Linked DNA regions of Oryzias latipes. Each later gene encodes a partner of the first gene's protein in a complex. Links are inferred from orthologs where the notes say so. Each region holds a gene or a part of one and is shown on either strand. Other genes may lie near its edges.

Region 1 (4,292 bases):
CTATTAATCCCATTTTGAAAAGACAAACCTGCTTCACGCCATCTGCATGTAACATGATCCCACAGAATAAAGGAGAGCGAACTCACTTTTGGAAAGTATTTGGATAATCCCATGTACGCCAGTTCAAGGGTCAGGAAAGGAGCAAATATTGACTGCAATGAAAAGGTCAAATCCCAGACTTAAAGCATTCAGAAAACTTGACAAATACACATTTCTTCAATCAATCGGTCATAGGATTGTTGTGCTTTGTGCAGAGGTGTGTCTGCAGACTCACCAGATACTTGCAGACAAACATCCTGACAAACACGGCGAGAAGGATGCTGCCGACGAGCCTGAAGACTCTGAAGGGATCGAACTCCTCCGTTTCAACGCCGCCGTCCTGAGTCGGCTTCTCGCTGGCCAGCTGACCCCGAAGTTTCATGGCGTCATCGAAGCGAGACAGGTAGTTCTGGAGGCCCCTGCGCGGGGAGCCGCTGATGTTGTCCGACGGCGCCCGCTCCCCCTTCAGTCTCTGCCTGAGAGCGCCCACGTCATCCTCCACGGCCGGCGGCGGCTCGCTGCAGTCCGGCAGAGGCGAGCCCCTCCTCTCTGGAGTGGCGGTGTGAGACAGGCTGCTGAGCGCCGACGATTCTGGCAGGAAGGGAGACGGCCTCTGAGAAGACGAGGACGGGGACCACGGCTCCGTCCTGTCGAGGTCAAGATGGAAACGAGGCTCTGCAGGACGCCGGGAAGCTCCTGAACGGGAGAACAGAGAACCAGAAATAACATGCGGGAAAAACAAACAAAGAACATACAAACCAAACTAAAGACTTATAGGAATAAAAGAAGAAGTTCAGACGTTTTCTGAACCTGCAAAATAATTCCAGTCAGCAGTGAGAAGTTTGGGGAGAAGCTCCTTCTGTGTGGATGAAACCACTTAGCATTTTCTATTAAAGGAAGTGCACAAAGACATAACTTCATGCATTGTCTTAAATTCAATAGTTTATTCAAATGAACCTTAGGCTTTTAGAGCCAAAACAATCAATGTAATCCGCTCCAAAATGCATGTGCACATGCCCCCCCCCCCCCCCCCCCCTCATGAATCTCTGCTTATAGAAAAACAAACGTTTTTTGGGTTTTGAAAAGTAACTGTAAAGTAAAAAGTAAACTAACTTAAACTTTATCCAAATCGTTCAGAAAAAGTTGAACTTTTTTCATGATCTTCCTGACTACACTACCCATAATGCTCCAACAATCTAACAAGTGGCGAGGCTTCAAAGCTTAACAAAGATGCGCCAAAATATTTTTGACAGATGTTTTGGTGCTGACAAGGAGGTCAGTAAGCAAAAGCAGAATTCATCCTTAAGGTGGACTGGTTTATAAGGCGGATTTGTTTTCCTTTATTTACTATGCTTTTCCACGAAACAAACAAAAAAAAAAAAACAAAAAAAACGATCCTACAAATTCTTATGCCTGGGAAATTCAAGGGAACAGAATAAAAGAATTCTGCCCCTTTACATACTTCGATGAAAGTGGAAAAGAATAATTAGAAAAAAAAAAAGAAACCAGTACTGTATGTAAACCTATATAAACATTTCTGCAATATAGCATATGGGTGTGCTAAAGGTTACATCAAACCTATCAGTTTAGAATAACACAGAAACGGGCAAGTTTGTGTTTTATTTCTAAATTTGGAAATTCTTTTATTATTTTTCTATTTTTGTCCCTTGGTTTTCCATTTTGAAACAAATTCAAGGATTTAAGTTCAAGTTATTGTTCAGAAAATACAGCAGGATTCACTTCATTAGTTCTGACTAAACATTATTTCTTTAGATGTTCACATTTCTGGCTCAGAGGAACCACAAACATGTATTTTTTTTGTTTTTCTGCGGACATGACAGCGCCTGCTACTACAGTTGCTGCATCGGATGATGCTCCTTTGTGTAACCAGGTGTCTCTTATTTTGAAAGGAAACCACGTGAACGTCTGTCAATAGTTATAAAATGTTTTATATTTAGAAATAAATCTCTTTATGTTTTATTTATACCAAAAACAACAGTACATTTAAATTGATCAGAAATAGTAACATAAATACGAATCAGTATCTTGTGTTTCTAAAGGGTAAAATTAGATTTTGAGGCTCTTCTTGAGTTTTGTTCAGTGAGAAATGGACCTGAATGGTTCTGTAAGGTTGCAGACTTCCCCTCTAGTTTGTGCAAACATCGATGCTTGACTCCATTTGGATCAGTTCTCTACTGCAGTCTCGTTTGTAGAAACGCACAAAGAACCATGTGGACACTTACTACAAATGAAATTATTGTGTTTTGGTAAAAACTTCGACTCATGATGATGTCAACGCGCTGAGCCCTGCAGCGGTTCGGCTGGGCTTTAGTACCGTTGTTGTCGGAACCGTTTTTGGCGAAGCCCACGATTCTGTTGAGCCTGTCCTCGGAGTTCAGGAGCAGTTTCCTCCTCCGCATCTCTGCCCTCCGCTGCGCCGCAGACATGGTGGAGGAGCCCGTCGCCTCCTCGCTGGTGTCGCCACCGGTGTCCATGATGTTCGGGTTCGAGCTCGGTTCGTTGGACCTAAATCGTTCGACCACAGCAGGTGAAGGCGGAGACCCACTCACCCCCACACACTGCACAGATAAGAGGCTCGGAGACTCGTTATCCAAAAGGCCCAGGACTGCCAGCAACGAATGACGGTGGATAAACAGGAGATGGGGCGCACGATGATGACGTCACAGTAAAGTCGTCGCCTCGGTGTGTTTGCGCTGAGTTTTGTCTTGCAGGAGAAAAAGAAAAACAGATGGAAGGCCTGTAAGGCCTATATTCTTTGTGTAAATTCAATTAAGACAGACTGGTCTTATTGAAATGATCCGGACTGGAATGGAATATAATTGTAATAATTCATAATTGTTAAATGTGCTTTTTGTCTTGTGCAGTGAGAGAGCTTTGCTTGTAAACTGTCTCTTCATAAACTGAATGAAAACTTTGCCTCAACAGCTATTAGTTATTGACATATTAATAGATCTATTAAAGATTTATCAAAACAAATGCCCTTATTGTGAGGTAGAAGAGAGGTTTTTTCTTCTTCTGTTGCTTCATAAATCTTTTGTATGTGTTGAAGTTTGTCCAACTTCCATAAATGTTACATTTATAGTTTTGTTTACTTTTATTTACTTATCGTCTTTGCTGTACGAGTGGAGCCAGTTTAGCTCATGCTGGTTTGCGGCGCCTTCCGTCCGTGAAACCCGGGTTCGACTCCGGGCTGCTCCCTGTTCCCTTCTCTACCTCTGCCGGTTCCAAGCCCGGTTTGAGAAGGTTGCGTCAGGAAGGGCATCCGGCGTAAAACATTGCCAAATTTACCATGCGACTCGTTCGCTGTGGCGACCCCTGATGGGAGAAGCCGAAAGTGGAAGAAGACTTTGCTGTACGAGTGCTTTCAATTCTGTTTTGGTTGCCTTTTTATTCGACCAACACTAAAATCTATTTGTCAATTCCAACAGCAATAACAAGGATAGCAATCATATAATTTTTAAAATAGTCACTATTTCTACAGTAGTAAACTATTTATCACAGTAAAACTATGGGAAAAAAAGAATAAAACCCAAAATAACTGAAATTTAGAATTAAATGGGAAACGGTTTGAAAATATTGAAGCTCTTCTAAAATCAGCATTTTTATTTATAAATTAATACAGTCAAATACAAGTAATTACAAAAGCTTAACTATTTACTTTACTACAGTCTTTATTGTAGACATGAGTAGAAATGTGGTTGTTGAAAAAGGGTCATATTTGAATGTCAGGATGACAAGAAGGCAATGAAAAAAGTCTGCTTATTGCTATTTGCTGTGGTTCCACCACCATAATTCAGTTTACCTTCATATACTCTGTTCCTCCCCCAGCCAGAAGCTTTGTTGCAGTGAGTCGGTCTGATGCATTCAATGGAAGTACATTGTGAAGATGCATTTCACTCACTTTGCTGTTCTTGTCGAATTAAAGTCATTTGTCTGACACAAAAATACGACACATATGAGCTGCTAACCAGATTCTTCAGAATAAACAGCTTATGAAACAGTTTGAAATGGTTCTAAATCTGAGCCCTTAAATCAAACCGCCTTGATTTAAATCTGGAACAAACATCGTCTGACATCCAAAACACAAAAAGTTCCTTTAAAAAGTCCCAGACAGTTTATTCTCTTAGTATCATTTCCTTTATACTAAAATCATCAGCATTTCTCCACCTTTATATACCGCAGTCTTCAATATACAAGTATTAATAAGCATGATTAAGAGATCACAATGGCTT
Region 2 (4,207 bases), on another chromosome or scaffold:
ACAAGACCTGAACTTTGAGTCCTCAGATGCCTGGAAATAAAACTAACAATGTCATCCCTTTCTTTGTTCCTAAAATCCTCAGGAGCAAGTTTTCCCATCAGCATTAGCTCGTGGCTGAAAACTAGGCGTCTAACGAATAACTGACTTTATCGATGCAGCGATTTTTATTCCTATGATCCAACCAGATCCATCTGAGGCAAAGTTGTTAATGGAATCGCCCTATATAATCAGTTATAGGGTGGGAAGTGTGAAAGGAGTGGGGGTGATGTATGGGTACGGGGAGGGGGGGACACTATATTTTTTTTGGTGCTTGTTTATTTTAATTTTCATGCTTGTTTTTACATTATTTATTTTGTTTTGTTTAATGTAAAGCACTTTGTGTTACGCTATCATATGAAAAGTGCTTTATAAATAAAGTTTGATAATAATGTTCCCTTTGGATTATTTGGATGTGGATAAACAACAGTAGGCTGAACTTTAGGAAAGTAAAATGTGAAGGGATTTGACATTAATAATTGTTTACTTGTTTGTTTGTACACATATTAAATTTACACTTTATTTTCTTGCAAGAAATTCAAGGAATCTGGAAAATTTCGCCTGCTCCGTTTGGTTTGACCCAGGTATTGACCTCTGAGTCACACAGGTTAAATTTTGGCTAAAGATGTGTTGGATCGATTTCAGGTCAATAAATCCAAATGTTCAAATTAGGGCTGGGCGATATGGCCTAAAAATAAAATATCCGATTTTCTTTTTTTTTTAATTCCCCCCGCTCGATTTAGTTTTTTTTTTTTTTTTAAATCGCCCGTAACAAAAAATTCGAATTAATTCAATCAATCGATTTTTCGCCCAGGCCTGGTTCAAATGAACAAATATCAACTATGAATCAGTGACCACAAATTATGATATGAATTGAATTGTTGTTCAAATGGATCGTTAGACCCCGACTGAAAATCAAAAGAGAAAATGTTTGGCTCAACATCAGGATACTTTGAAGTTGGCACTTACCTGTGCTATGTAGAAAACAATGTTCACGACCCATTTCACCTTTGCCTGTTGAGCAGTTCTCGATTTCACTGAAAAAGTAAGAAAACGTTTAAATATCACAACAATAAACCTTGAATTGTCAACATTTGAATATATTTAACTACTGCTTGTCATGATTTAAATACACATCTTATGAGCTGAAGGGAGTCGATAACGTCAAAATATTGAATAACTTGTTAATTTATGCAGATGTTTCTTACTGAGACTGAAGAAATATTATTTAATGCAAACAAATATCTTTTAAAACTGTAATAAATGACAAACTTAATGAAAACAGGTAAATAACGGGAACAAATGACAGCTGTTCACAATCAAACATGTATCACAAATGTGCAACATGTAAAAACGAGGCTCCGCACCAGCGCGGATTTGGCTATCCCGTACACCCATTTGCATCTCACCGTGTGTTTTTAGCTTGTCTGTTGTTTTGTTGATTTTGCGCTCCAGTCTGGCGTATTTAGCAAACTCGTCCATCATACTGATGGAAGACTGCTCCATCTTCATTCCCTGGATTTCAGTCCTCATCTCACTCTCCTGCTCAGCATCTTTTTGGATCATTTTAGAGAGCTGGGAAGAGTTTAAAACAACAACAACACAGAGGTTAACGAAAATACAAACAATAGATAAGAAATTGTGAGATGAAAGATTAAATTATCACGAATTAATATTGTTTAGCTGCCTTTCTTCTCTCGCACGCCTCATTTGCTTAAGTTTAGCTGTAAATCCAAATAGTTAAACAGTCCCAGCGTTAATAAAACAAACATAAATAAAAAAACGGCACTAAAAGTAAGTTGATGTGTAGACTCAACATTTTATCCCCATGTTGCGTTTTTGTTATTTTAACTACTTTTTAAAAGGTGACACATTAAGCAACAGCAGATCCTGGCATGCCAGTTGCGGCCATGAAAAACTTGCTGATTGTAGTTTGGTGGAGGCAGTGTGATGGTATGGGGCTGCAGACTCCATGAATGAAGAAAAATATTAAGATGCGGCTCTAGTGGCAATGCCACATCTAATCTGACCCGGACTGGACTCTCTTCCAAGAAGAAGACAACAAAAACCTTCACATGGACGTCCTACAGAATTGCACAATTGGGAAGATCACAAATGCACTGTGAGGTCAGTGTGATAGCCCTGACCTCAGTGCATTTTCTTTGCAAACATTGAAATCAAGATTATTTACGACATAAAAATATATTTCCAACAAGCTCCGCGAAATCACATAGCTATATAGACACATCCCTACTCTAAGTGTGGTTTAAGCGCACGCGGAAGATGCCTAATTAAATACAGCACTATTTATTTACTTTAGCGTTAGCTAACCTGGATGCTAAGCTAATCTGCAGCTATTCGAGGGATAGTATTAAATTTAAGCCACAATGTTGAGGAAAAACGTTACCGAAATTCATGTTTCTAAGGTTTTACATTCCTACTTACGAGAGACGACAGTGTAGACAAGAAGGTTTTCATGAGGTTGCAAAGAAAAACTGAGCCGAGCACCAGAAACCAGGCGTAGCCGGCCGCCATCTTTCCTCCTCTTTGCTGCAGCTAGGAAGCTCCTCGGCGGAGGGGAGGGTCTATTAGACTTGTTTCATAAATATAAATCAGTATTTTAATAGTTTTCATTTTTACCTGACAAAAAATAATGTGCATTATTTAAATAATTCGCTAAAACATAGATACAGCGTTTATGGAAGAGCGGGGCTTTCTTTTCTGCTACTGAAACAAACAAGTTTCACAATAATGTGTGGTTTCGTCCGCTTTTTAATGCGTTTCTTCGCAGATTCTTATGTATTACTTTGTAAGGAACACGCCCTGCGAGCCATTACAATCATGATTGAACAGTGAGAGTGCGCTGATTGGCACGCCGTCCTGCCCACACAGGTAAGATGTTTTCTTTTGAAAAATCTGCTGCCCCGAGCTCGGAGCCAATCAGCGAGGCCGGGGGGCGGGGCTTCGTTTTCCCCGGTTGCTTGGTAGGATAAGGAATCAAATATGCCGAGCCGGGGATCCAATCCGGAATGAGCTGGTTCTGGCACTGCTCGATCGTTGATGCAAACGTGCCACTCTGTTCTGGAGGTGTGGGAAGAAGGTGTACGCCTGACCTGAATTTCTTTGCTGACTAAAATAAAAAGAAAAAAGTTTTTTTTCCTCCTTTGTGCCTTTTGTCGCACAATCTCATCGACAATGGGAAGAAAGAAGGTAAGTAGGAAGGTGCATGTCAAATATGACTTGACATTCACGTGGAAATTGAAATGTCCTCCTTTTTAAATGGCGTCAAAAAATGGCTTTTAGGAAGAGTCGAATTAAAACAGTTGAAGGGGACGCAGATTTACTGTCGTTCGGCCAGTGGACGCGCTGATTCCACGCGCTCGTGTTGATATAGGGAAGTGGCGCCTTTTTTCCTCCGTCCTCGGTTCAGAGGAGGGAAAATGCCTTTTTTTTTCGTTCCTCCTTTTTTCGATCGAGTGGGTTCCCGCGTTACACAACCAGCCTGGCGTGACTTCATCATGTTGCTAAAACACTCCGCGCATCATGTATGTCGCGTTTGCTTAACTTGATGTGCAGACACCAAACAAAGGGGTGTAGCCTCAGGTGGCTTCCTTGAAATTACCTTTTTTCAGGGAATGTGGATTTCATGCACTGCTGGAGCCAAAAAATTGCCGCTCCCTAGCTCTGCAAAGTAGGGTTTTTTATTTCGATTATTTATTGTTATGCACCACTCCAGTGCAATAAATATGCAGTTGCTCTCGTGCAAAAAGAAAGCGGTCTGGTAATGCCAGATTTGAAAGAATAGCCACAAAAGGAGGACCGTGTTTTCATTTCCTGTAGGTAAAAGTTGGCGCATACCAATAATGTCTGAACAGAGGGTGGGAGGGGGGGAACTGCCCGTTGTCTGTACACTAAACCCCACTCGCGACGGAGCCCACAGATTGCATAATTTCTTTGTGATTTAAGGGGAGGAGAGGTGCCCATCCCCCCACCCCCGTATAATCTACACACCCACTTTTTGCTCACCCGTGAACGGTTATGGTTCATTCCAATAAAAAGTCTAATTGCTCTGCTGTTTTCTTTATGTTCCCAGGCTGTAGCTGATGGTGATGCGAGTGCAGAGGTTTGTAGCGAAATATTCATTACGTCACATTAAAGAAAAATGTAGAAA

What was found. Proteins that work in one complex are often made in the same cells at the same time.
Region 2: camlg (region 1) and wrb share a complex: the UniProt entries of both Homo sapiens proteins name them as parts of the golgi to ER traffic (GET) complex. The link is inferred for Oryzias latipes from reciprocal best matches to the Homo sapiens genes CAMLG and GET1.

What each region holds. Positions count from the first base shown.
Region 1 is NC_019872.2:3,757,265-3,761,556, forward strand, and holds the start of camlg (calcium signal-modulating cyclophilin ligand), read right to left. Parts: upstream 2,801-4,292; 5' UTR 2,535-2,800; coding exon 2,375-2,534; intron 736-2,374; coding exon 275-735; intron 153-274; coding exon 87-152; intron 1-86. UniProt on the Homo sapiens protein: Required for the post-translational delivery of tail-anchored (TA) proteins to the endoplasmic reticulum.
Region 2 is NC_019871.2:25,295,549-25,299,755, forward strand, and holds the start of wrb (tail-anchored protein insertion receptor WRB), read right to left. Parts: upstream 2,810-4,207; 5' UTR 2,678-2,809; exon of another isoform or gene 2,610-2,677; 5' UTR 2,572-2,609; coding exon 2,482-2,571; intron 1,612-2,481; coding exon 1,446-1,611; intron 1,074-1,445; coding exon 1,006-1,073; intron 1-1,005. Other genes in the region: non-histone chromosomal protein HMG-14A, read left to right, coding at 3,232-3,246, 4,130-4,159. UniProt on the Homo sapiens protein: Required for the post-translational delivery of tail-anchored (TA) proteins to the endoplasmic reticulum (ER).